7 separate regions of the Mus musculus genome follow, and regions 2, 3, 4, 5, 6 and 7 are each reported to be linked to region 1. The links are microRNA targets in miRTarBase. Many come from high-throughput screens and were not tested one by one. Region 1 holds a microRNA gene; each other region holds the end of a gene's coding sequence.
Evidence for each region. Region 1 holds the annotated microRNA mmu-miR-155-5p (UUAAUGCUAAUUGUGAUAGGGGU, at 1,551-1,573, opposite strand). A microRNA usually pairs through its seed, bases 2 to 8, with sites in the 3' UTR of a target mRNA and lowers its output. Matches are read on the target gene's strand: a 7mer-m8 pairs with bases 2 to 8, a 7mer-A1 pairs with bases 2 to 7 and ends in A, and an 8mer does both.

Region 2: miRTarBase lists Mfsd6 as a target of mmu-miR-155-5p. Seed matches in the 3' UTR shown: 7mer-A1 at 1,319-1,325.
Region 3: the mRNA of Mier3 is a reported target of mmu-miR-155-5p. Seed matches in the 3' UTR shown: 7mer-m8 at 3,076-3,082 and 7mer-m8 at 159-165.
Region 4: miRTarBase lists Hbp1 as a target of mmu-miR-155-5p. Seed matches in the 3' UTR shown: 8mer at 3,826-3,833.
Region 5: miRTarBase lists Tcf7l2 as a target of mmu-miR-155-5p. Seed matches in the 3' UTR shown: 7mer-A1 at 1,211-1,217 and 8mer at 1,226-1,233.
Region 6: the mRNA of Ets1 is a reported target of mmu-miR-155-5p. Seed matches in the 3' UTR shown: 8mer at 519-526.
Region 7: the mRNA of Fgf7 is a reported target of mmu-miR-155-5p. Seed matches in the 3' UTR shown: 7mer-A1 at 363-369 and 8mer at 1,058-1,065.

The regions. Positions count from the first base shown.
Region 1 is chr16:84,711,192-84,715,715 of GRCm38, reverse strand. It overlaps Mir155 (microRNA 155), which reads right to left and starts at 1,576; the gene lies at 1,512-1,576. Mir155hg (Mir155 host gene (non-protein coding)) reads right to left here and starts at 2,693. Exons shown (of 2, transcript NR_132106.1): 1 at 2,623-2,693; 2 at 471-1,663.
Region 2 is chr1:52,657,414-52,661,937 of GRCm38, reverse strand. Mfsd6 (major facilitator superfamily domain containing 6) reads left to right here. Exons shown (of 6, transcript NM_178081.4): 6 at 851-1,952. The coding sequence ends at 1,278. Among named protein-coding and RNA genes, the nearest start is that of Nemp2, 29 kb to the right of the region's middle.
Region 3 is chr13:111,714,166-111,718,689 of GRCm38, reverse strand. Mier3 (MIER family member 3) reads right to left here. Exons shown (of 13, transcript NM_172593.3): 11 at 4,322-4,449; 12 at 4,103-4,245; 13 at 96-4,006. The coding sequence ends at 3,549. Among named protein-coding and RNA genes, the nearest start is that of Mier3, 30 kb to the right of the region's middle.
Region 4 is chr12:31,923,490-31,927,713 of GRCm38, forward strand. Hbp1 (high mobility group box transcription factor 1) reads right to left here. Exons shown (of 11, transcript NM_153198.3): 11 at 2,966-4,018. The coding sequence ends at 4,001. It overlaps Cog5 (component of oligomeric golgi complex 5), which reads left to right. Exons shown (of 23, transcript NM_001163126.1): 22 at 2,156-2,302. The coding sequence ends at 2,270. Among named protein-coding and RNA genes, the nearest start is that of Hbp1, 25 kb to the right of the region's middle.
Region 5 is chr19:55,931,606-55,934,605 of GRCm38, forward strand. Tcf7l2 (transcription factor 7 like 2, T cell specific, HMG box) reads left to right here. Exons shown (of 15, transcript NM_001331146.1): 15 at 1-2,050. The coding sequence ends at 252. Among named protein-coding and RNA genes, the nearest start is that of Gm52391, 5.0 kb to the right of the region's middle.
Region 6 is chr9:32,753,210-32,757,733 of GRCm38, reverse strand. It overlaps Ets1 (E26 avian leukemia oncogene 1, 5' domain), which reads right to left. Exons shown (of 10, transcript NM_001372534.1): 10 at 1-3,521. The coding sequence ends at 3,309. Among named protein-coding and RNA genes, the nearest start is that of Gm3331, 28 kb to the left of the region's middle.
Region 7 is chr2:126,089,384-126,092,383 of GRCm38, forward strand. Fgf7 (fibroblast growth factor 7) reads left to right here. Exons shown (of 4, transcript NM_008008.4): 4 at 1-1,802. The coding sequence ends at 178. The region is part of intron 11 of Fam227b (family with sequence similarity 227, member B); the gene reads right to left. Among named protein-coding and RNA genes, the nearest start is that of Gm26496, 19 kb to the right of the region's middle.

The sequences.
Region 1 (4,524 bases):
GTATTCTAAGCCAACTAAAGACTCAAAGACATTTATTTGGCTATAGGGAAGACAATGACAAGATATTCAGGAGAACTATCAGAACAGGTATAAATTAGGGCTGGTGAGATGGCTCAGTGGGTAAGAGCACCCGACTGCTCTTCCGAAGGTCCAGAGTTCAAATCCCAGCAACCACATGGTGGCTCACAACCATCCGTAACAAGATCTGACTCCCTCTTCTGGTGTGTCTGAAGACAGCTACAGTGTACTTACATATATACATAAATATATATATACATATATATACATAAATAAAAAGTCTTTAAAAAAAAAAAAAAAGAACAGGTATAAATTAAATATAACAAGTCCAGCTGTCTATGTGTTCGTCAGTGATATCACTGTGGAGAAAAATTGCATAGGAATTCAAACATTAAACTTCTGTATATCAAATTATTACCTATGTCAGGCAACGGGGTGAGTTTTGGATTGGCTTTAAGACATCACTGTGGGATTTTATTACCTTACAAAGAGTTGTTCATCTCCAGTGAGCTGCACACCAACCTTGTAAAGTTTCATCCGCATTCATGAAGAAATGCGTAGGAAACGTGGGTCTCCTTACTACACAGCTTTACTGTGCAGCTAAAGCAGTAAGCTTGAACCCAGATTTGGGTTTCATTTCAAATGTGAATATTTGAAATTAAATATTAATTAAATTAAATATTTATACCGTGTGAGGAATATATAGGTAGCCCTCAGGAATGATTTGTCATGTCACTTTTTAATACTTCATCTTATTTTCTTAATTTTTTGATAAGGCATTTTTCTGTGTAGCTAAGGCTGTCCTGGAGCTCACTCTGTAGACCAGGTTGGCCTTCGACTCAGCCATCTGCCTGTCTCTGCCTCCCGAGTGCTGGGATTAAAGGAGTAAACTACCAACAGCTGGCTCATAGATTTTAAAAAAATCATTCAGTGTTGACTCAGTTTTTCCTTACCTAGCCCTAAACTCTAACACTAACCCTAAATTTTTCCTTACACTAAAACACAAGAGTTACAAATTTTAAATCAAAGTTGACTAATACATTGTAATGTGGAAAAAATGCCAATTCCAAGTCTTACAAGAGGTATTCCAGACAATCCTAGATGTCAGTCGAGAATGGCCGTCCTGAATTTTAACTACAGAAATATAGAAATGTCCTTTTTAGTGCATTCATTTTGTATTCTGGTTGAATCATTGAAGATGGTTATGAACATAATTTTGAAATAAAAATGATACAAGTTTCACTTTCCATTCAAGATAAAAAATAAACATGTGGGCTTGAAGTTGAGATGTTGTTTAGGATACTGCTGATCTATCTTTTAAATGACATTTATCGTAACACTTACAGTGGACTATCCTAGTAACCAGGTTATGACTAGCACATTAAATGATAGAGTCTGACATCTACGTTCATCCAGCAGGGTGACTCTTGGACTTGTCATCCTCCCACGGTGGCCATTTGTTCCATGTGAGTGCTAGTAACAGGCCTTGTGTCCTGTTAATGCTAACAGGTAGGAGTCAGTCAGAGGCCAAAACCCCTATCACAATTAGCATTAACAGCATACAGCCTTCAGCAAGCCTCCAGCAGCCAGAGGATAAGGGATATGCAACTTAAACCACACACTTCCCCTTCCTGGTTTGCAGCACCTGCAAAGAGAAAAAGAAATAGTTGTGTGTACGCACACAGTTAGTTATAAAGTAGAGTGAACGATTATGAATCTGAAGGCAAGGTAGACTTCAGCTTTGAAAGAAAAGAGCTCTGAAATGCTTCTAAGTAAATTTTGGAAAATTTTTGTAAGGTTTGCAATTTAAAAACTAATTATAAAATCAAACTTTAAATTCTGTGGAAATATTTGAATACATGTATCATTTTTAACACAGCCACGGTTCATAGTTCTACAATGCTGAAGTTCAAAGGACACAACTTCAGTTCTGGGTAATATTCTGACGTACATCCCACAGGTCACTAGGCAATTCAAGAAATCTCAGATATTTAGGATGGTACTTTATGATTTTTGAAAGTTAAAACTCAATGGATGAACCCATTTTGATTCTATAAATAGTAGTTGCGATTTTCACCTTATTCGTTTTTCTTTTTCTTCAAGATAGGGGGTACAGCCAGGGCAGGTCTGCCCTGAAAGGTATCTGAAAATGCTCCTGTTGTCCTCCAGTGATTCCTTTGGGGACTCACAAACCGGTGGCTTCAGTTTGACCCATGTAAAGGAAGTGCGCCTTAAAGAGCTCTGACTCAAGGGACTTGTCTCCAGCAGAGTGGTTTAGAAAAAGAAAAAAGATGAATTTGCTGTTTCCTGTTAGAGTTGGATTTTACTCTCTCAGATAAAGTGACATTTCTCCCACAAGTTTCTGGTTTCAGTGTTACTGTACGCGAACCTAGAAGTTCAAGCATCACTCAAGTCTGTGGTTCCCTTTAGGACCAGAGGGGAACCACCTTTTCTTTTCTTTAATAATGAAACCAGCTAGATGTAGAAATGTGATTAAGTTCAAAAGAAATGCATCAAGTTAAAAATTCCCCAGTGAATATATTTTGACAGGGCAGAATATCGTGGCTTGGAAATTTCCAAACCAAGGAAATATATCATACTTACTGATAGTATTTCTTTTTTAAACTTTGCTGTTTTCTCAGATGAGCTGGTTTCATGAGGAAAGTCTGTGAATTACACAGTTTCAATCTTGGATTTTATTTCAGCCAAAAGAAAGACTGTAATAATACCTTTTCTCTTCATAGTGCATTGAACTCAGTAAGTCCTCAGTAAATCTATTAAGATTCTAGTGTTCTACTTCATGCCATATTATTGACCCATTAGGGAGAATATATGCAACTGTGCATGTGTGCATGAGTGCCTACATAACCCCATTCCAATTTAAGTAAATAACTTATCTATAAGTTCTGTTTCTATCCTTTAAAGATACCATCTGAATAAAGGTATTACCAAGAATATATTTAGTATAGGTAGCCAAGGTTGCCCTATATAACCTAGGCTGGCCTTGAACTCATGACCTTACACTTCAGTCTCCCAAATTCTGGAATTATAGCCATATACCACCACATCTGGCTATATATATATAGCCATATATACATATATATGTATAGCCATATATACATATATATGTATATTACATATATACATACATGTGTGCACACATACACACCTATCTATCTATCTATCTATCTATCTATCTATCTATCTATCTATCTATCTATCTATCATCTATCTACATGAAAAGCCTAGGTTTGATTCCCAAGTACCACATACATGGACACTGGTGCAGCCTTTGATCTCAGGACTTGAGAGATGGACTTAGGAGGATCATGAGCTCAGGGCTGTTCCCAATTACTTATCACCTCTGGGGTCAGCTTGGGCTATATTGGACCCCGTCTCAATAAATAATAAAATATAATGTTAGGAATTGCTATTGCAATCAACTCTTTTGACCTTAGGTAAAAATCTCGACCAACCTTAAGCACTATATTTAGTTCAGACAAATCGTAAGTCCAGGTCCCATTCACTATGTGGCATATCACCATTTCTCTGTGGTATAGCCTAAACCTAAGGACATTCCAGGAGAATATAATTAGACTTTTCTTCAGGATAATATTTTGAGGTATAAGGGAGGCATAGAATGTCACAATCTGTCTAGTCTTGCTGATTTGCCAGGGAAAATGTTATCAGCTAAGGTACTCAGAGAAGAATATGTCCTATACTGGATCTTTTTATTTTTAGTAATTTTTTTGTGGTAACACACACACACACATGTATCTCACACATATAACACACACACACAGACACACACATACAGAGTAGGGTAGATGAACTTTTGGAGCTGTAAGAAAGGGCATCATATTCATACTCATCTTCAACTTTCATCATATACATATACACACATATATCTACATACATACATACATACATACATACATACATACACACATATACATACATACATACATACATACATACATACATACATACATACATACACACACATATACATACATACAAACAAACTTTGCCACTGTAACCAGTTTTAAGTTTCTGATTGAGTTATCAAAGACATCTGCATTCATTCCCACCTTTTCTCTCAAATGACTCCATTTGTTTTATGAGGGTCTCACTTTATGTTAAAATCATGAGTTGTAGGCCAAGTGTGGTGGCACACACCCTTAATCTTAGCACTCAAAAAGCAGAGGCAGTAAGGTTTCTGGGAGTTCCAGGCTACTCTGGTTTATATAGGGAGAGACTGTATTTCAAACAAACATACGTACAAGCAAACAAGCAAGAAAATCATGAATTAGATCCTCCTACAATTATATATATATGTATATACATGTGTATATATCTATGTGCTTATTTTTTTGTCTGGCTTATTCTTAGCACCAACCATTCGAGAGTTATCAAAGAAACTGCATGATGAAATATTTTCTTTATAGGAAGCCAGTGGTTGTATTTTTCACCAATACCATGTGGGACAGCCCTAGCTATTCACTT
Region 2 (4,524 bases), not on the chromosome of region 1:
GAGGCATGGCCTTTGTTAAAACTGTCATGCAGCCGGGCAGTGGTGGCACACGCCTTTAATCCCAGCACTTGGGAGGCAGAGGCAGGCAGATTTCTGAGTTCGAGGCCAGCCTGGTCTACAAAGTGAGTTCCAGGACAGCCAGGGCTATACAGAGAAACCCTGTCTCAAAAAAACAAAACAAAACAATCAAACAAACAAACAAAACAACAAAAAACTGTCATGCAAAGGGGAGGGCAGGCCAGTGAAACAGGTCAGCAGGTAGAGGCACCTGCTGCCAAGCCTGACTATCTGAATTCAATCCTAGAGACCCACACAGTGAAAAGACAGAACCAATGCCTTTAAGTTGTCCTCTTGGGCCTTCACCTGTGTTCTACATCACTCCTACAAACACCACATACACACTAAATAAATAATACAATTTTTTGACATCTTAGTTGAGGAGCCTAGCCCTTAATATCTGAAACATCTCTCTAGTCCTGATTTTAAAAAATTAGCATGAGTCAGGTGATATAAAACTTTTGGTGAAAAGTGTCAACCAATAGAAGGCACATGTTGTTGGTCACTCTGGGCCAGCACAAAGCTGCATCTTGGATTCTCAGTCCTTCAATATTCCCGGTCTCGGGACATGAGGTGGTCTAGTAAGAGAGAACATTGCTTGTTACAGAACCTCAGAGGAACATCTCAGTCTCACTGAGCAGCACTGGACAAAGACCAGGGGTGGTTCTCAGTCTCTGGCTGGGAGTATAAGGTCCAAGGTGTGCACGCCCATGTCAGGACGGTCTTCTCCTTCACCGTTGTTTGAAACATGTAGAAAACTCAAAAAGTCATTTTAACATTATTTTCTCTCTAGACAAGACAATGTTGGCAGAAAGGATCCCAGTTCCCTCTAGTCCCGTTCCCATAGCAACCATTGACCTGGTACAGCAACAGACAGAAGATGTCATGCCACGCGTTGAGGCCAGACTTCCGCCCAAGAAAACCAAGCACCAGGAAGAGCAGGAAGATGTAAATAAACCGGCCTGGGGGGTCAGCTCCTCGCCTTGGGTGACCTTTGTCTATGCTCTCTACCAAGTTAAAGAGCTAATTCAACTGACAAGAGAGAGCCGTGCTTCTGAGATACAACCTTTACAGGTAACCCTCTGCTGGGCTAGCGTGGCGTCTGCACCGTTACTCCCTCCTTGTTCATCAAAACACATGGGAAACAGAAAAACAGGCATGTTAGCAAAGGATATCAGTGGTCTGCGATCACTCTGTCACAGTGTTTACCAGGTAGCATAGGAAGAGACTGCTTTATGGAGATCAAAAAGGCTTCACAAAGGCATTAAAAAAAAAAAAAGATCTATTCCAGCTTTGCATACTACAATTTTCAGCCGGAATATACAGCTCTTGCTTTCAGAAACTGTGTTTCCTAATCTCTATAAATCAGAATTCCAGGGGACCATTACACATACCAGGAGTGCAGTAAACAGCGGCTAAATTAACCCATTAAGCTATGCCTCATATGGCTCTGTCTGATAACCCTACTCAGGAAGTCTGGTTCTGAGAGGCCTCACTTGGGAGGTAGAGGCATGTTCTTTTCTGTTCCCAAAGGCTTTCCTGAAAAAAAGGTCAAATGGTATTGATAAAGTCAGCAATTATAGAAATAAAGTCATACCCTGACTTTGGAAAAAGAATGTGCCTTCTGTGAACAGTTTGGTCAAAGCCATAAATCTACTCCACTGTTAGATTAATCTTTCCACTTTCTTGATAAGTAATGCCAGCTTTATATTTACAGTAGCTTAAAAGGACCCAGAGGAGGGCAGGCAGGATGGCCCAGTTGGTAAACACACCTGTCACCAAGCTCGATGACCTGAGCTTGATCTCTGGAATCCAAATAGCTGAAAGACAAAGCCAACTCCCACAGGTTGTCCTTATACTTCCATCCCCACTCCATGGCACACTTATACTACAATACAAACAAACAAAGAAACAAAAACAAATAAGTGTGATTTTTAAAAAGAGACTCAAAAGGAAAAATAAGAGGGAAAATAAAGAGTAATTTCTTTTTTAAAAATTTGACAAAATACTGGTGATTGCAGAGATGGCCCAACAGTTGTCTGCTACTGTTGCAAAGGGCCTGAGTTCGGTTCTGAGCATCCAGGATGCGCCCAGCATCACAGCTGTATGTACCTCTCTCTCCAAGGGCATTAATGATGCTCGTGTGCAGGTGCCCATCCGCCAACATGCATGCACACACATAATTCAAAATAAAGACAAAGCTTCATAAAAGAAAAAGCAAGTTTGTCCAACTACCTTAATGAATCTCAGCTTTATAAACATCCTGGAAAGTCTTTGCATAGTTTTCCTGAACTGACACTTCACTGATAGCCATATTCGTGCCACTCTGTGCATAATCCAGTTTACTCATTCATCAAGCCAGGACTGGACGTGAGATGGAGGAGCACTCAGAGGCTTCCAGAGCTTAAAGCAGGAAGGAGACGCAGGGAAAGGATGCCCCGATACCCAGGAGAGGCAATGCTTTCAGTACTTTGTGAATTTATCCTCATTTTTACAGATGCCCAGAAGCCTGTGCAGCATTAAAGTTTGCTTTTCTTGCCCTCTTGTGTGAGTTAAAATTAGTAAGAGCTGACAGGTATGTTATTGTATTGTTGTGAGGTAACTACATTTCAGAATCAGGGGAATGAAAGAAAAAAATTTTTAGTTCAACTACAGGAAATAGAAATGAACATCAATTCAGAAGAAAAAAAATCCTGAAATAATCCTGTTCCCTGAGTTGTATAATCAATGTAGCATTTACTAAGGGTACTGTGTGTGTTCTCAGATCGCTCCCATTGGCTTCAAAGACCTGTGTGCATTCCCTGCTCTGTCTTGCTTAGTTATTAGTACTCATTTTGAAATCCTACGTGTGCATTAGGACTCTCTCACAGGCATTCTTTGCCTAGATATCTTGAGGCTGAGGGTCCTTGTTTACTGATTACTATACAGTGTCTCCTGGCTCTTGAATACTGTGGCCTTCCCAATAGCTAGCATTCAGGTATCCCATGGCTCTTGCCTGGTGACTTGCCACAGGGCTGGGGTACTCTGTAAATATTTGTGACGTATATGTAAATGTAAAGTTGTTTGCCTAGCAGTGACAAGAACACAGATACAAATGTTCCCTTAGCCATAGGTATGTCTGCTTATAGTGTTTGTGTTTTTCATGCGGCTTTGGCAGTTGCACATAGGAAAGGAGATGAAAGGTAAGATGTCTATCCTATTCCTTTATGCGTTGGTCCCTGAAGTGGGCTTTTTGAGACATCACCACACATTAGCTGTGTGAAAATATGTATAATGGTTGGATTTGTTTTTTTTTTTTTTCTCAAACACCATGGAACATGTGTTTTTCCTTCCAGGGGACCAGTGAGAATCGGGAAGCCTCTCCAGCTGGTGGAGCCCAGCGTGCCCCACGTGAAACTCACTCCGCCTCACCTAGAAACCAGCCATCCCCTGACACAGCAGCATCTCAAACGCAGTCCAGCCCTGCTCACCCCAGTGCTACCCCGCATGGACAGGAGAGTGGAGAGAAGCAGGCTCAGCCCACTGTGGGAGAACACTGAGGGTCAGCTCATACCCTGCATGGCACTAGGCACCTCAGCCAGGACAGGGGGCGAGGCCCCAACCCTGACCATGCCTCTACAAGGGGGTCACTGCAATGCATATGCTTCTAAATATCTAAACTCATTACTGTGGAACAACACACACACACACACACACACACACACACACTCACTCACACACACACACTCACTCACACACACACACTCACACGCACGCAGATGCACAAATGCACAGGCACACATGAGTAAATGTTGGCAGGAAAACAGAGACTGCCACAGTCCAGTAGAGACACAGAACAACGTCTCTTGGTTAGTTAGGTCTGACCTAACTTCTCCACCAAGATGAAAGGGTGAGAAGCAGAACTCACACCAAGTTGGGTGAATGAAAGGGCCACAAAGTGAACAAGGACTTCATCTCCCTCTTCTGATTATTTATTCTGAATATTGGGTTCTTAGTGAAAAGTGAGAGGGAAAAAAGTATATCTATAGTTTTATTCGTCTTGAAGAAAAGAACTTTAAAAAATATAAGACATATTGAAAAGGGAACCAGATGGAACTTAGTAGAACATATGCTTTTTTTGTTGTTTAGAAAAGTTCACTGAACTTTGTACATCTCTAGCAAATCTATTTTTATATGCATATAGTATATAGTGAGCATAGTTCTTTGGGACGCAAAGCTGTTGCTGACTACTGCATACTGAGTTGAGCTTTAAAATGTCTTTGATGCAATGGGCTGTGAGAATGAGCAGAAGTGAGAGGCTATTTCAAAGACTCCAAGCAACTCAGTATCCTAAGACATGACAGACAAGGCCTTCCTAAGCAGACCCTTCTATAGCAGCCTCTGATGCTGGATTTTAATTAGACTTGGGTTCTAATTAGCTAATGGAATTAAAAAAAAAAAAGACAACTCACCAGATTCCTAAGTGTT
Region 3 (4,524 bases), not on the chromosome of region 1:
GACTACACAGAGAAACCCTATCTTGAAAGACAAAAAAAAAAAAAAAAAAGACTGGTTTTAAACTTTTTGGTAAATAGTCACACGACCCAGGAAAACAGATTCCCAGATTTTTATTTCTGGAACTGTACACCAGGTATTAAAGTACAACAAATACAAAATAATGCTCAAAAAATCAGTGTTTATGTACAAATATTAAAATCAATGCAACAATAGCAACTTCCTCTTGAACACTGGATACTAAAACTTGTTCTGATTGTCACTAGTTCCTCATACTCACAGGGTACTTAGTTCAAACTGGGACAATTGCAATCACTGGTCATCTAAGAGGAATATTAATATCTACCATATTTAACAATAAAACTAATAGTTTCCCTCCTTTTAGTGAAAAAATTAGGAACTTTTTAAAAAACATAGTAATGTCAATATTTTATAAATTATTTCAATTTCCATTCGTAGACAATGTGCTTTGAAACTCTGGGCAGACAATCTCCTTGGTGGTCGGGTTGTTAGCTTACATTCAACGTTGAAGTATTTACTAGACTTTGGTTAAATTAAATAGCGCTACTACTCTATTAGGTCTGATCGCAAATATTTGTGACCTTCAATTTTAAAAATTAAAAAGGAAGCGATTGCACAATTCTTTGACCTAATTGTACAGACTTTAGGTTTTTTGTGTTTTTTTTTTTTTAAATAGTATTCTACATCCTTCAAGTAAATTCAGCAGTTGACCATGACAAGAGGAAAACTAAACATTAAAAGGCCGGCATAGCACGGCGAAGCACACGTGACGAAAGTAAAGTATTGCTCCAGTCACAGCACCAGGTCACACTCGTCAACGTCCACATCCTCCGAGTGCCCTGGACACACAGGATGGGCCAGCCGACACCGCCACTGCTCACCATGGATTTTTGGTTTGTTCATATGAAAATATTGCGGCAAATGAAAGAAACAAAGAATTCATCACCGTTTGCTATAAGAATTGTGCTTATTAACACGTGATAATAAAGGCATTGTTTTTCTTCATACGATTGCAAAGCAGATTTTTTATGCTTTCAAACTCAATTCTTTTAATAAACAGTAACAAATTCTCTGTTAAGATGTTCAAATGGAGACAAAAAAATAAGTCCAGCTGTTGGAAGAAATTCAATAAATAGCTATTTTACATGGATAAAGTCATAGTGGTACAATTTATGAATGTCACATCAGGCATGCACAAAAATGTATCATACATGACAGGAGCAGTCAGAAAATATTGAATTAGGTCTAAAAAGATATGAAGAATTTACTGTACACATATATACAAAAATCTTGCAAATTATTGCCTCATTTTAACAAGGAATTAAAAGTAAACGTTACCAGCTAGGTAGCACTCTCTAAGAGGCTAAAATCCAGTTAGCATTTAAAAATCTGTTAAACTAGCTGGAATTTATTTCTCTCATATCATTTTTCTGGATTTTGGTCAAAACTCTATTTAAATAACTAAAGTGTCCATTCAACTTGCTGATAATCAAAACTCTAGATGAGAAACACTGTTTCCATCTTACATCAAGACCCCAGCGATGCATAGATAAACTGTGCCAGCCAAAGAGAATGGGCATTTTCATGTAAGTGCAACTGGTATTAGCATTCAGTTATCTTTGTATAAATCATTTATACAGACCAGCCACGGTAAACCCAGAGTGAAAAATATAGTTTTAACAATGCAAGAACATGCCCGGTATCCTCCTACATTAAAGAAAGTCTACTGAAGGGAACGAAAAAACCAAGGTTCAAAGTTTAGCACAGCACAGCAATAAAAAGCTAGCTAACCACTTGGAGAGTATTAGAAAGCAACATGGAGCCCAGGCTACCCATTGTTTACTGTGTGCATACAGGAATACTCAATTTTAGATGTATAAGTTAAAGACTGATTTTAAGTTATTAATTTAACTACCCTTTGTCCTCTGTGCTAAACTAAATTTTATACTTAATGTGCTACTGCGTAAACACTTCAAAGCAATCTTCATTAAAATGCTGCAAAGGAAAACAATACACACCATCCAAAAGCAAGGATGTCATTGCAGTTCACAGTTTGTGCAATAAATACCCTCCCGTCCAGTCACTAGGACCACTACCTCCTACCTACTCTTCAGCACGACCTTGAAGCGACTCACACTTATAAACAGCAACACAACTAGGAAAATAAAAAAAAAAATCAAAATATTTAATTAAGACGGTGCAAAAAGTAATTGTTTTAACTGTAAAAGTAAAGCTTATATCCTAACACTGTGTTGTAGAGTTTGACTCACCTGAAAACTTAAAAGGAGCATGTCTAATAAAGCAAAAATGGTCAAAGCTATGACAATGGCTTCTTACTCATGTTTGGAATAAAAGTGAAATCACGTCTGAGATGCACGTGAACATCTGTCACGTTTTAAAACTTAAAAGTGGTAACGTACCATTCTACTTCAGACAGAAACTCACAGTTTTCTTTCCAACTATTTGAGCTAAACAAAGTAGCTTCAAGGGTCTGCGTTATGTATACCATCTAGAAGTCTAAGTATATTAACACTTTGAACTGCAGTGCTCCAAACAAGGTGTCCCAAAATGTAAACCACTGTGGCAACTTCCTGGGCTTTGTAGACTGTGCCTTGCAAGTCAATTGCCTCGGAACAAACTAAATTACCAGTGACCAGTATGATTTTTAATATTACAATCTTGACAATGGTGGACAAAACCCCATATGAATACCACATCTTCAAATGCCAATTTTTTTGTAAAAAAAAAAAAAAAAAAAGAAAGAAAGAAAAAAAAAAGTTTACACAGAAGTCCCCCGGCAGTACAATGACCAATTCTGTGTAAGGTAGCCCTGGTCTGGAATTTTGAAACAGGATCCAAGCAAGTGTCTCCTTCATTTGCACACAGCTCCTCGCGCCGGCTTCCAGACAGATGGTCTTGCTGTTTTGTAAACTGAAGTGCTCTAGTTGAATAACATGAGAGAAGTTTCTGTTTTTAAAAAAAATCCTTGCATGTTTGTGCAGTTTAAAGAAACCTACCCCTGCTTTTATTAATAAAGAAAACAAAAAAAAATAATAATAATGCTACATTGAACAGGGATCGGGGTTGGTACCTGTAAACATTGATCCCACTGCATCCGTTACGGCAAAAGGAGCTGACATGAAAAGAGGCCACATCAGTTCTGAACATCTGTGCTGGTTTGAGCTGGTGGCCTCTGTCTACAGGTTTTAAATCTGGGATGAGGGCGGCGGGAACAGAAAAAAAGGAGGCCGTGGAAGAGGTACTAAGGGATGAGGAGAAGCAGAGCTTAAAGCTGCACCACAGAGCTCCATCTTAGTTCCCAACTCTGCGGATCATAGTTCATTTCCACATTTATGGATTGAAAAATGAAAATACTCTTGATAAATCAAGATATAGTTCTATACATACTGACATCACTGATGTCATAGTGAAAAAGGTTCAAACTTCCAGTGAAAGACTATGCAAACCTGATAGCTCCCCTTCAGTTTACTGGTACTGCATACCCATTGTCTCTGGGCTTCCCGTTCCCATCACTCTGAATGAAGGGCGGCGTGCTGGTGCTGATGCAGACTATGGGCATTGATGAATCCGTTTGTCTCGTTGGCAGACAAACTGCCAAAGTCAGCTACAGAGACAGCCATTTTGGCACTGGTGATGTGATGTGTATGGTTTTCAAAGTCTACACCCAGGTTGTTTACAGAAACCTCATTCATAAAGGATTCGGGGACAGCAATGCCCATCTTCAATCTCTTTGCTGGTCTTTCGGATTCTTCGCTGCACATGGGGTTTAACTCTGAGTGATAAAATCCAGTCTCAAATAAATTAAAACAATCACTTTCACCATTGCTGGGCAGGGTGAGTAACTCTTCCGTTACGACAGGCACATGATTGACGTGTCCACGAGGCGTGTTGGCCAGCGGAGGAAAGCTGTCATCCAGACAATTCACAGCGGTGGGGTTGCAGACAGTTGCTACACTGTTGGTTAAAGCTAGAAAAAGAACGGAAAGGAGTTTAAGTGAGAGGTCACTGCTCTGCAACAACAGAATGCAGCCTGCAGCAGGCTGTGCACGCAGCCTCGTCTTACCTGTCAGGTCACTGGCAGTGAAGGAGCTGAGAATGTTCAGCGGCTGATCAGGAACGGGCTCAGGCCGGTTACAAGTTAAGGCTGAAGAACTGACGGTACCACCCAGAGACTCTGTCTCATCTACGAGACGATCCATGTAGTCCCTGAAGAAAGCACCATAATCTTAACTGGGCATCACAGGTAAACATGGCAGTCACTCAAGTCAAAGACTATACTTACGTAACACCAGGGTGATGGTTATAGCGTTTCTTTCCAAATTTTGTCTGTTGAGCAAAGTAATCATAGCGTTCTGATTTCTTCCACATGTAGTAGAAGGCTACGCACTCGGCAACCGTTCTAGACCTCACCTAGTAAAGACAGGCAGACAAACTGATGCTCCCAACACCGTCTTTAGCAAGTATTAGTGACAGGTCTCTAATGAG
Region 4 (4,224 bases), not on the chromosome of region 1:
CAAATGAAGTAATTTAATAAATGCTTACAAATCCTGCTCTTGATTTTATGTGGGAGGGCTGCTTAATCTGTTTTCTCACTGTCATTCTAATGGTGTTCTTGATGAATATCAAAAGAAAAATCTAACCAAACTTACTTCTAAACTTCCTTCAATGTGATGTATAATTTATATGCTTAGCTCTACAAATGCAGAGTGTTTTTTTTTTAAGTGCACTTTGTAAATAGAACAGTGTGTCCACTATGGAACATTAGTTTCTAAGATTTTCCACTTATTTCTTAAGACTGGAAAATGTACATGTGTGTGCACATGTGCATGCACACATACCCAACTGCTTCAAGATGGTTGAGCCCTTTTCAGCCTGGCTTTGAAGACATTTGTGGAGTTGGAGCAACTGCCTAAGCTGGTATGCCAATTGGCAAAGAAACAATTTTCAAATTTATTAAAAAATACAGAGAGAAGTAAGTCCTTAAGGGTTGGTTCTGCTACCTGACATTGGACCATCCCACAAAAGGATGCTAAGAGCACTGACTTCTGTCAGTAGCTAGGATTACTCATTATATGGGACTTGAGGCTACGCACATGACCAGTAACAGGATTATATCTAATTGGAGAAGTTGGCTTAGTAATGGCCTGTCCATACTCCCTCATATCCTGAACACAGCCTTCAGGAATTTCAAAATGCTCGGTACTCTGTAGTCAGGATTTTCATATCTGTGACTCCAGGGTAATTTTTTGCTACCTAGTGTTAGGGTTTTATGACAGAGGAAATTTTTAAAGCTGAGCCCTAAATGATAAAGAGCCGTCTAGGGAGAACACAAGAAAGGGCATTCGTCCCACAGATAAGAGTAAGTGTGCAGATGAACTCATTTCTTTAATTGTAAGATATGTGCATGGTCAAAACCAAACAGGTTCTCTGCCAACTCCTATCTGAGGGAGAAATATACTATTTCCATTTCTTCCCTGATTGGATGCTGGCCTTAGCTGCAGCAAGTGAAGTACAAAGTGGGTCTTTTTCATGCTACACTAGACTGCCCTGAAGCCCAAAGTGGCATAAAGGGCTGCATAGTTGTTTCCAACAAAGCTGGGTTGCCTGGGGACTTCCTCTTGCAAACAGTGAAGGGCAGGTGATGCTAGAGACCCAGCTAGCAGCTTTACAAACAAGACAGAAAGCATTTAAGGGAAACAAGGTGGTCGGCAGGGGGCCAGATGTGAAATAGGTGGGGTGAGTTTGAGGACCTTGTAACTGATCCCATGTAAATGGGAATGAGAGTTTGAAGGGAACCAGTTCCCTGGGCTCCATGATGGAAAGAGGAACAGAACGATGCCAAGCATTTGGTAGCTGACCAAACGACACCTAGAAGCAATGTTACTTAAAATGTCTAAAAGACAGATGGACACAAATAAAGAACACATCTGAACAACACTGGCTATTTCTAGTGTTTGGGAATAAACAGAATTGCTAAATGGGACGTGCAATGAGTATGTATGCAGAACAGTGGGGACTTTATAAAGAAGTACAAACTACAAACCACTCTTAGCTTTACTTGGCGAACATACACACGTCTTCTCATGGAGACCACTGTTGTAGCCTTGTAGCTTCCCTACAGCTCTGCTGTGGTGGTGGGAAGGAAATGACCTTAGGTATAAAGGAGCAAGCCAAGGGCCATGAATGCTGCTGCCATTTGCTGTCTCCTGTCCCTAGTACAAACCAAAGATTATCAAAGCAACGGCACAGCAACACATGGAAGTACTTAACTAAGTTCAGACTTTCCATCATAAAACCTACCAAAAACTAAAAACCCGAAAATGCTGTAGCTGTAGGCTGCCCTGTCTGTTTTACTATGTGCGCAAAGGGTCTGTCTGAGCATGTGTGTCCAAGGCTTTTTCTCCCCTAGCTGAGCTCTGGGGGAGACACAGCTATGTGCATTCTTTCACGTGCCTTCAGGACAAAGGAAAGGAGCACATACTGAGATGAAGACTGAAATCGGCCATACTGCACCACTCACCTGGCACAGCCACTGTAGCTCTAATGCACGTGTAAAGGCTGTTGACACTGGTCTGTGGCACTGTGCTGTTCCAGGAACAGACGGTCTTGTTTCCATATCGGTGCTATCAAAACTGTTGGACTTATGACAGTTTTCTTTTGCATTTACAGGGGAGCCCTGGAAGCTTATGTTCAGTCAGTGAGAAGCAGGGACGGTAAAGAATTTGCACCAGTTTATCCCATTATGGTTCAGCTGCTTCAAAAGGCTATGTCTGCTCTTCAGTGACTTGCAGTCTCCATGAACAGACCCGTCCAAAGGTGGCAACTACAACTAAAGATCATGGTTGATTTTCTGTCCTTCCTCTTTCTGTTACCTCCAGCACTTTTTCTTTAAATGTCAGAATAGCTCAAGCATCTCAGCCTTCACATAGCACCCACATGGCTTTTTCATAAAGCTACCTATGTTCCCCTTCTCAGACGATGGAGGAAGGCTATTTTACTTGCTGTCATAGTTGGCTCATTATTTTCACTGCTTATGAAGGGACAGTATCCTCCCAGCCTGCCACTTTCTTTAGTGTTAAGCACATAACGAACCAGTGAAAGAAGTCACATCGGCAGGGAGTTGAGGAGTATACACCTGACAGAGCCACTCTACCCCAAAGTGATGTGGGCATGTAGTCAAGCCCAGTAACTATGGCGGAGCCCAAGGCTGAGGCAGACACACTGCTAAATGCTCTTTACTGGATCTAACTACAGCTTTAAATGAAGTCAGGGTTTCTTTACAGTCATTTTACTAGAAACAGGCACTCAGGGCCTTATTTTTTAGTCTTTACTCCATTGTTAACATTCTTTAATTTTTAAAACCCCACCAGAAACCTACTTATAACACCAGAACTCAGTTTTATCAAGAATTTGTTTTCCATCTGCCAATCAGATTATACTGATAGGTATCATGAATTCAGTCAACCAGAAATCAAAGACAGACCTTTTTTTTCCTTTTATTTGAAATAATATACAAGAATATAGTGTGCAAAATTGAGGGGCAATATGTTTAACAAGTGTAAATCAATTTTACAGCTGTGATTACTAACCAAAACTCTCACTTGGTAAGTAACATGAGAAGCCATGATTGTAGCTCAGAGCAAGAGCAGCAGGACTGCTGAAGTACTTGCTCTGTCTCAGAAGCCGGAGGGAGTAAAGTGCAAGTGGTGCACTGCAGTAAGTGCAAAGTCTGCCCCACCAGAGACACACTGACAGCACAGATGAGGGTATGTGGCTGAGGAGACAGGAACGCGGTCAAACACAATGGTGTCGACTGGTAACAGCACCATTACAATGACTGTCCCAATGCTATTAACTGACTGCACCTTGGCCTGGCTTGGGCCCCACTGGGAATCATGGAGCTGTGCTGCCCCCTGGTGCATCCACTCAGCACATGCCCATGGTATCTGAAGCAGGTGGCTCTTTGAGCTGAGACAATGACACCGACACCATCCACCTGCCATGTTATGTTGTCTCTTGGCACTGGCCAGACTAGAAGCAACTGTGTTTGGCAGAGATGCTGGGCCATGTGGTGGCTATTCATGGAAAGGCCAGCGTCTGCTTCACTCCTGATATCGTGGGTACAATACAGATTAATAAGCAGTAAGGAGCTGATGTATAAACAGCAGTTACGTATTTTTAAATTCCCCTTCGTACAATTTAAAATAAAACGTATACACATCTTTCTACTGTACTTTAGCACCACAGGATATCAATTTTCAAGCCTATATTACCTGATAGATATATGAAGTTTGGAAGGAAAATAAGGCAATTTGGTTTACAATGTTGATAGTTATAGCTTAATGCTCTAATGGAGAAAGCAATCCTCACCCATTAAATCATTACAAAACTCAATGCTCCCAGCATTTTATGGTCACACAAATGTAGACAAATGGTGAGACCAAGGTCTTCCAAGCTTTTCCATCCAGAGTCAGTACTTATGCAGATGCAGACTTACAAACACAAGCATCAGGTTTAATGCTGTTGAGAGCCCTGTGGAAACAAAATAATTGGTTCTCAGTTTCCTAATGGCTCATAGCTTAAGTATCTGGAAAATTTAAACAAATGTGAGACCAGCATGCACAGAAAAGTGCTAATGTCCCAAATGAAGTTCCAGACATTAGAGAATTTGTAGGGAATGGCTGTGTGGTTCCATAGATATACTTTGCCTTTAAGCACAGAACCTTGGGTTCAAACCC
Region 5 (3,000 bases), not on the chromosome of region 1:
AAGCCTGATCCTCTGGCCCACCTGTCCATGATGCCTCCGCCACCCGCGCTCCTGTTGGCCGAAGCTGCCCACGGCAAGGCCTCTGCCCTCTGTCCCAATGGGGCTCTGGACCTGCCACCTGCCGCTCTGCAGCCGTCCATGGTCCCTTCCTCATCGCTCGCACAACCATCAACTTCTTCCTTACATTCCCACAACTCGCTGGCTGGAACGCAACCCCAGCCTCTGTCTCTGGTGACCAAGTCTTTAGAATAGCTCCGCCTCCTCGTCCTCCATGCCCCTGCTTGATTGAAGTGTTTCCTTCTGGTTCTTGGTTCGCCCTTCCCCGCTTGGAAAGCTTTTGTTTTGTACTCTTTAATTTTGTGCCGCCGTGGCTACATGAGTTAATGTTTATGGAGTTCATTGGTCAATATTTGACCCATTCTTATTTCAATTTCTCCTTTTAAATATGTAGATGAGAAAAACCTCATGATTCTACCAAAATTTTTATCAACAGCTGTTTAAAGTCTTTGTAGCGTTTAAAAAATATATTATATATACATAACTGTTATGTAGTTCGGATAGCTTAGTTTTAAAAGACTGATTTAAAAAACAAAAAGAAAAAAAAGAGAGAGAAGCAATTTTGAAGCACCCTCCAGAAGGAGTTGGTTCTGTGTTATTTGTATTAAATACGAGCTTGCGAACCAATCACTTTACACCTTGGTATTTAAACCACGAGGGCACAAGGAATGCAGTGCCGTTTCTTTCTTTCTTTTTTTCTTTCTTTTTTTTTTCCTCCCAGTGTGAAACAACTTTTACCTTGATGTTACTTGTTATTGTTTAAATGTACAGAAACAAAGGGTTAAAATGTGTTAATATACCTTGTTCCATGGTGTTGTTCTTTTGGGGGGGAGGGGACACCACTCAACAATGAATGGAATCAACACTGTTGGACCAGTAGTATTTATTGCTTTAGAGGTTGCTTGCTGTACCTGTATGTCCGTCCAATTTTAAATATGTTTTCCCTTTTTTTTGAAACTGTGTAAAGTCCCCCCCAACCTTAGCGTAAGCATCTTATATATAACAACTCATTTGTACAAGGTTTTTAAGTTTATATATAAAATGTGTATATATTTTTTTGTTTCCTTTTTTTTTTTTTTTTGGCGTACGTTCGTTCGTTCGTTTGTTTGTTTCTGTATAAAACCCAGATGCCACCAAATGGACATTGACATTCGCATTAAGGATCAGTAGCATTAACAAAACTTGCTTTAAAAGCCATTCTGTAAAACAAGACTTGAACATTAGCGAGAGGGTCTGAGCAGCCGTCTGAGCAGCCGTGGGAACTGCCCCGTTTCCCCCTTGACCTCCTAGTCAACTGCCCTGTGCTCTTAGAACATGGACTGACCGTGTGCAAAACTTTTATGTGCCAAAATTCTCAGTGACTTTAGCTTTCTCCCTCCTTTTTGATGCTGTACTTTCTGTTCGCCATGTTTTGCTGTGATGTTACATAGATAGATTTGTATGTAGTTTTAATGTCACCTATAACAAAATGTGTTTGGTAGCAGACTGTCCAGAAAGCATTTTAAATGAAGAGGTCTAAACCCTTAAGGGCCAAAAAAAATCCTGTATATTAGATTACTCTTAAATGAAAAAGAAAAAAAGAAAAAAAAAAACCCCAGCTGCCGCTTTTATGTATGCATATTACATACAAGTAGGTAGTGACCTTTAAAAACAAGAAAACCTAGGCATGCCGATGTTGTAAAATGCTGTATAAAGCTGAGACCTGTTCCTTCAGTGCCATCGTAGTTGACATGAAGCGATTGTAAAACTGTCTCCGGTTTTCTCTGGTTTATTAAAATGCTAACTATAACATTTTCTTTTCTTTTTTTTTTTTTGTGAATACTTTGAATGTCTCCCTAACAGTTGTGGTGTTGCTGTTCTGTTCGATGCTTATTCCAAGTTCATTTTTTTGAATGGTTTTGAAGCCATTTTGTAATGAATTAAATGTCCATGCTGTACAGTACCTGTAGCATGCCTGCCGTTCTGGATTAATAAAAGCAACTTAGTATGTGCAGAAAGGCTGGCCGCTTGCTTCTGTGACTTGGGGGTGGGAGTGTCTTACCGGACACTGGACTTTCTCTGGAGGGGTGCATTCCCTTCCAGGTTAGGGCTTGAGGTGGTGTGGGTAGCATGTAGTGGTGGGTGTTTCATTGTGGTGAAGTGTCCTGTGTACAAAGGGACCCTAGGGTGTCTTCTTTATACCCCACTGTGTCACAATAACTGAACAGACACTGCTTGCCTGGCCATTTCTCACTCATACAGCCTGTTGTGCAGTGTGAGACAGAATTTGATTTTAAAAACTGATTTAGTTCACCCTGAGTGGATTTAAAGAACTGAGTGGGTACCACTTAAGGATGGTGAGTGTGAGTATGCCCTGACTGTTCTCTAGACATTCCCTGTGGGAAGAAGGCAGGGATGTATCTAGCAATCACTGAGCGAGCAGCTTTTCAGAAAACTGGCATCCCACTCACTGAGCTGTGTGCATGGAGGGGAGGGGACTCACAGCTGTGCATGGAGGGGAGAGGATTCACAGAGCTCTGCATTAGAAGGGTCCTGCTGTTCTGGAGACCTATGCTACAGGTTATCTACTGGAATAACTTCAAGTTTATCCCTATCACTGAGGAGGGTCGCAGTGAAGATCTTCCTGTGGTCATTGGGTGTCTCTTCTCAATGTCCATTGGATGGAATTTTTATTGTCCACATGTCTAGGACAGCTGCGCCTTCTGAGGGTAGACATTTTACGCATCCCAGAACCCTTTGTGTGACTGTCACTTAAGATTACTATGATGTTGGGTCAAGAACTTTCCAGAGCTCTGCCTCGCTTGGGCTAGCTGTGGGTCTGTGTACTTTCTGTATTTTGTTTTGTTGTGCTTTGTACGTTGTAAGAGTATTTCTGATCAGCCTTCCCTACTGTATTCTGTACACAGGCCCCAGACTGACCTTTGAGAATAGAAATAAGAGCAC
Region 6 (4,524 bases), not on the chromosome of region 1:
CAAAATGATGTGCCAGCATCAGCTACTTAAATGAAACAAACCAAAAACTCCCCCATAAGAATTTTTTGCATTTGTTTTTAAAAAAAAAACAAAAAACATTTAAGACACTTACATCGCTACATCTCTAAGCTACCTCAGTTCTGATTTTTAAAAAGCACCTGCTTTTCCTTTTTAAATCTTGCTTTTAAATTTTCAGCATTTAAAAAATATAAATTATATGAAAATACAAGTTGGAAAAAGTCAAACACAATATAACATCTTTTTCACCTCAATAATTCTCAGCTTTAAAAAAAAAAGTATCCTTAAAAAAAATTCAATAACTGAGGCAGTATTCCTGATAGAGATAAATTCACTTTAACATATATACTTCATATATGTATTTGTATACATATACTTGTGGTTCCTTGAAACGTCTTTGGAATGTACGTAAGAGTTCAACAGGTTTATATAGACCCCAACAGAGAAGGCCGCATGCACAGCATGGCTAGGAGAGAGAAGGTGTGATTTCACCATGAAGGTTAATGCTTTAAAACCCAGAGTGCTGGTCTCCAAAGTGAGGAAGAGCATCTCTGATCCTGAATGCTTACAAGGTCTCCATGGCCACACCATCAGAGCTCTCCGCAGGGAGCATCCTTAGCCCCGCCTCTGAGCCCAAAGCCAGCCACACAGGTTAAAGCATTTCTCTGGGAAAATGATGGAGTCGCCCAGCTAGGTCAGATCTGTTCATCCTTCCTGTGAAGTGAACGTGTTTTAAAAGAGCATCAATGCAGCAATGCTGCTACATTTCCAGTGTATAAACCACCCGCCACTCTTCCTGGGATGGTCTCTGGCCTTCGGAGGAGATGGGGGAAAGCATCTGGCCAGATGGACAACAAAGCTGTCTGACTAATATACTATCTACAAATCCTGAAAAGTGGTGGACCTAGGGAGAAAGGGCATCAAGGCAGGCAAGTCAGCACGCTGAGGAGTGTGGGAGACACTTTCTTATGTCTTCTCTGCTAGGGGACTGCAGGTGGTAGGCTCTCAGGAGGGGCATTCCCAGCAGGAACCCAATATGGAGAAGGGTGAAGACTTGGGGAAGTGATTTTTTTAAGCCCTGTTGCAAAGAGCAAACAACAATACCAGCCCCGGCTGTACTCTTTCATTCACCATTATGGAAATGTGAACAGACTCTAAGTAGAAAATTCAGTACTATTTCAGCTGCAACTTTATACAAATGTACACACACACACACACACACACTCACACTGTCAGTGCCCAACAAAGATCACATAACATAAGAGAAAACAGCATAATCCAAATGATCCCACCTAACACTCCCTGAGCAGCTCCTAAATATTTTGAGAGCTTCATTAAGGCACCTGCATTTGTAAGATCAAAATATATAGCTGGAATGTTTGGCCTTTGCTTCCTTGTGGGGATGCTCCACTCAGTCAGTACAGAACACCCACGGACAAGAGTTATAGTCTTAGTAATTCAGAGTCTTCAAGGGAATGTGGGAGTCAGCCATCAACTCTCCTGGAAGATGATACCAGGGAGCTACAAACCCCGAAGGGTGAGCCTGGAGAGGCCCACCTCAGCCAATTGCCTCTCTTCTCTCAGGGATGTCACTGTCACTGTCTTAACTAGGCAGCTATACAGTGGAAGGGATTCTAATGATCCCAGGCATGTCTCCTTACTTTTTTTTTTAACCCACAATGGCTTATTTTCAGGTCTCCTCTCCCATCAGGCAGGATGATGGCTGCCTCAATTAAGTCTGAGTTTAAACTTGGAGGAAACTAAACATCTATCTAACTGTCTCGGGCCACCTTATTTTCCTTACCTAAGCGCCTTCCCTTGTATTTTCTCCGTCTCCCTCTCACCGCAGTTGACCTGGGCTTGCCCTCTGCTGAGGTGGTAACAGGTCAAGTGCCAGTGCTCCCTGCCACTTCCCGGCAAGCAGTCTCACCTGAAATCCTACCTGACGAGCACCAAGTCTTCAAAGGAGGCCGAGTCACATGCTACTGAAATACCCTCTCCACTGCCGTGGCCTCCGAGCCCTAGCAAGTCTGGACTCTTGGATTTGTGTTGTGATGGCTGAAACTACACTTTCAGTCACGTGTCAGGATGCATTACACTCCACTTTCACTGATCAGTGATGAGGGAGGGGCAGCAATGAGGGATGCCGGGGGGAACATAAGACAAAGTAGAGGAGAACTGAGAATGTTAGTTTGGAATGGCATGCATTGAGGCCTTAAGACCCTCGGGGTAATGCCCATGCAAACGGCTTTTATTCTGAGTCTTCCATGTTTCGGGTAGCGGTTTAACCAAAACCCAGGTTAATCCTGCTCCTTGGATTTCGTTTCCAAGACTTGAACTGTGCTATGATGCCGACGATTCCATAGAAGAGCTGCAGAATACATTCAGTGCAGAGACTTAACGCCCCGTAACTAACACTAAGTCCAAAGCCTGACAGTGAATCAAAGGAAAACAGTTTTTACAAACCGCAGGTGGAAGTCACACGCACAGTCCCCCTGTCCCCAGATCAGCATTCGTTTCCTTTAGCTGTAAGAGTTTGGGGTCTCTGATCTCAGTACAGAACTGGGATTTTTCCAATGGGGTCTATATAAACAGTTGTCTTTCACTGTGACAAGAGTCCTCAGCCAGCAAATAACAACAAACTCACAATACTGCAATACTGAGACCACCTTAGAGCTTAAGACGATATTTTTTTAAGGAAAAAAAAATACTGGCACAAAATTTAATAAAATAAACTTCAACATAAAAACAGTTTTGGACCCCTTCAATCAAAGTCCATCATTGTTTCAAAAAGTAGAAAGGTTAATAATTCTTGAGTTTAGTAATCCCCTGAAGAAACTGTTTTCAGCCCACCCACAAAACTGACTGGCTTTCATCAATCTCTTTCATCTCAATGTGATCATTCCTCCCACTAGTAGATCCACAACTCAAGATGAATTTTTTTTTCTTTGATTTAAAAAAAAAAAAAAAAAAAACGGACACTTAAGTTTTTTTTTCCTCTGCAAGCCAGGTCCAACAGGCTTCTGAGAAGACCTCTCCCTTCTGAAAGTCTGCTCAGGAGCTATTGCCCCGCCCACCCCGCAGGTCCTGACCTCCTCTTTCCGGCCCACCAATGGCCAATGGAATACAGCGGCGCTCCCTCAGCTCCCACCCCTGAATGTGAAAAATGAGTTCTGGAAAATAAAACATTGAATAACAATTAAAAATGAAGAGTCCAACCAACAGGGTTGCTCTTTGAAAGGTCTCAGCAGGGTTCCCCCAGCCCCTTCCTTCTGCGCGTCTGTCCATGACTAGTCAGCATCCGGCTTTACATCCAGCATGGCGTGCAGCTCTTCAGGGGTGTATCCCAGCAGGCTCTGCAGGTCGCACACAAAGCGGTATACGTAGCGCTTGCCCGCCGTCTTGTGGATGATATTTTTGTCATAATAGTAGCGAAGGCCACGGCTCAGTTTCTCATAATTCATCTTAGGTTTGTTTTTCCTCTTTCCCCATCTCCTGGCCACCTGTAATAAAAATAAAATTAAATACAAGTGTCTATACAAGTCTTCACATCCATCATGGTGGTCAAACAAACATCATGTGTGTGTGTGTGTGTGTGTGTGTGTGTGTGTGTGTGTGTGTGTGTGTGTGTGCATATGTCTGACTTATTCCTTCATTTCCTTTTTTAAAAAATATTTTGAATTGTTTATAATAACTATACATTGAATGTATAGTTAGGAGCCATGGACATTCTGAGATTATTTCAAAAGATGTAGGCAGAACAATGCAACATTTTAATACAGCTGTGCATTGTGTCGTGATCAGACCAGGCTAAATGGCATGTCTTCAATCACAGGCATTTCCCATTACTTTCTGGGGACCATGCAAAATAACCCACATTAGCGATTCTGAAATACCTGCTAATGTTCTGTAGGCACCCTACAGTACCACAGAGATTCCAGAGTTGCCAATTCCTGTACCTGCATTCTTGGGCTCATTAACCAGGGTCTCCCCAACCCCTTAGCCTCCTCCTGGCCATGCTCAGATACGTCACTCTTTTATCCTCTGTGTCTGTGGAATCAGCAATTCAGTGTCTACATGTAAGCGAGAATATGTGCTGTCTTTCTGAGCCCAGAGTATTCCTCTCAATAGGACAATGTCCCTATCCCATACATGTGACTGCAATAGAACTTCTAATTTCAAGTGTCCAAGTGTTGAGTTCCATTTACTTGTTCAAACAGTGACTCTGAACTCCTCTGGAATACAGTTAAAACACTTGGTCTTGAAGGAAAAGGAAGAGCCGTGGGGCAGACATCCCTCTGGCCCACATTATAAGCAGGCATCCTTAAAATGAAAGCACAGAACTGGGCAGAAGGGAGAGGATGGGAGGAGAGCGCTGGCACCTCTGCTTCCACCAGTAGGAAGCATCCTTTCTGGACCAGGGTAGAGACACGTTCTCATGTCTGCCAGAAGAGAGATCTCTTCGTTCATATACCAACCATTTATTCAACACTCTGGGATGAAAGG
Region 7 (3,000 bases), not on the chromosome of region 1:
TTGCAACTTCAAAGAACTGATTCTGGAAAACCATTATAACACCTATGCATCAGCTAAATGGACACACAGCGGAGGGGAAATGTTCGTTGCCTTAAATCAAAAGGGGATTCCTGTCAAAGGGAAGAAAACGAAGAAAGAACAAAAAACAGCCCATTTTCTTCCTATGGCAATAACCTAAGTGTACATGGTATTTGAGAAACCAGTTTCATTCAGCAGGGAGATTTCTTTCCAGTGGACTTTTCTTCTCTCTCTCTCTCTCTCTCTCTCTCTCTCTCTCTCTCTCTCAGTAACCAAGAAAGGCTGGAAAACTACTGAAAACTGATCAAGCTGGACTTGCGCATTTTTGTTTATTTTAAAAGACTGCATTAAAGAAAGATTTGAAGAATATACACAAAAATCAGATTTAGTAAAGGTTGTAAAAAGTTGTAAAAGTGGTTGTACAATCATGATGTTAGTAACGTGATATTTTTCTTAAATTAATTTACCCTTAAGAGTATGTTAGATTTGACTATCTGATAATGAATATTTAATATCACTATCTGCTTATAAAATGGCTGCTATAATAATATTAATAATGCAGATGATGTTATATAAGGTATGTCAGACCTAAAGGCTGCTGGGATGCTTTGTCAGATGATCAAGCCCCACACAAACTACAGACGATGAGCAGTGTTTGAAAGCTTTCCAGTGAGAACTATAATCCGGAAAAATGAATGTTTTCAACATTTTATTATAGAATAGAATCTACAGGTGGTTTTACAAAATCACAGGCTTGGAACATGCCTGTACTGACTAATATGAACAAAAATCCACTCAAATTGAAAAGGTATTGCTAACAGGATGTTTTAAAAATCTGTATATAAAATAGCAATAATGATGATAATATTGTATTTCATCTCACCACAAAATAATATTTTATAATCCCTTAAAATAAATTTCAGAAATCTTTACATTTTTTTCAAGTAAATCTATCTGTTGTATAAATCACATTTGGGAACACAACTTTTAGTAAATGCTCTTCCCACAAATAATCATGCTTATTTCCCTCTGTGATTACAGCATTAAACTCTACTTTAAGTTGTATTTGAATTTTATTGTTTTGTTATTTAAGTTTATGTTATTTATAAAGAAAAAAACCTTAAGAAGCTGTATCTGTTTCATATGCTTTTAATTTCAAGGGAGCAACAAACCCGACTGGCTGCAGTGCAGATGTCCCCTCCCCTGGTGGCTGACACCATGACTAGCACACAACACTTGGCTAGCAAGTGCTGGATGGCAGACAAAAACGACAGCCTGTAGCCATGCTCACAATAGATGTCTCACAGAGAACAATACAAATATGTGGGAGAGATTTTACACAACGCTCGTGCCAATGAATTTGGATCATATACGTAAAAAAGAAGTATTTAGTGAGGATGTATTTTTGAAAATAGGCATATTTAAAGTTAGCAATTTGATGTCTTTAGAAGTTTTTGCCATACAAGATATGCCAACATTGAAATGGCAAGAGTGAAACTCCAATAGAGGTTGTAGTCAGCCTTGAGGCCTCAGGTTGGGCCACAAATGACAGGCTTAATAAGTAGATGAATACTTACTCCATAGTTCTGCAACCAGTAGATGGATGCTGACATAAATTTATGAATAAGTACTTATGAAGGGAAGGGCAACATTTATTTAAATTGTTGGTATATTAATTAATGCGGTATCAACTTCATAGTGCTTGTCATTAAAGTTTCTTTATATTACATACAACACTTTTTGGTAATATGTTTATATGTTAAGGTATATGATAAAGCCTTGTCAACAAAAAAGAATCAATTGACTTTGTGTTTGTCCAGGCATCCAGGCTACTGGAAGGTCAGAAGTGTTGCCCTTTGCCACATACACTGAAGGACACACATGAGGCAATACTTTGTATTAGCATCCAATTCAAGACTACTTGTAATCTAGCTTCCTAGCCCAGGTACTGTAACTGGAGTCTTGTACACATACCAAAGGTAGAAAAAGACTGTTCTTCTTAGTTGTTTCATAGGTGTCTAGCTGATTATGACTAGAGTTTATAATCAACATATATATGTAAATCCATTAAATAATATTTTCCAAGGAAAAGGTGAAATGCAATTATTCTTACTAAAAGTTTAAAAACTCGGAGCAAAGCATAATCACGCAGAAGCTTAAACAGAAGTAGTAACCATACACAGAAGGTGGCTATAGTGATTACCAAATTAGTTACTAAGAAAAAGCCATTAGAATATTGGACTTAAATTAGACAGAACCAATATTGAGTAGTAAAGCCATTCTTAGTGATATGCCATGTACAAAATCTGCCCACAAGCACTAACATTTTTGTTACTTTTAGATCATGTGCCTGTGTAAATGTCTTTATGGGTGTGTAAATCTAGTGTGGACAGTAGTCATGGAGTTGAGCAGAGGGTTCTAGGAGCTGAGCTTGGGTCCCTTGCAAGAACAGTGTGTGTTCTTAACTGATGACCCATCTCGCCTGGCCCAGTTCTTATTTTTAACATGCAATTTCAAAAACACCTGTTTAGTCAAATACATTTAGAATTCTAGAGTCTTGAAAGTCTATGAGGCCTTCATCTTACTCCTCTTTCACATCAGGAAACTGAAATTTTTAACACACTGGGTGCTGGATGAATGCAGGTTACCTTGGAGTCTCAGACACTAAGCTTGTGTCTTAGTCTCACCTTGTCAGTGATCACCTTGTTTTGCTTGATTTTAATTTCCATCAAGATGTCATCTTTTTATGTGAGAATACTTGTGGTTTGCTTGTCAATTCACTTAGCACGTAATGATACCATTATGATTTGACTCTAATGGAGAAAGGAATGTGGTTTCCAATTCTGATTCCTAAGCAGCTTTTATGTGAACTTCTTTATAAATGAAAAGTATCACACAAGACATTTTCATAATCATAGTATTCCTTTCTAAAGTGTTCTTTAAAAAGAAAACCATATCAACTCATGGATTTCCCCAAGCTGG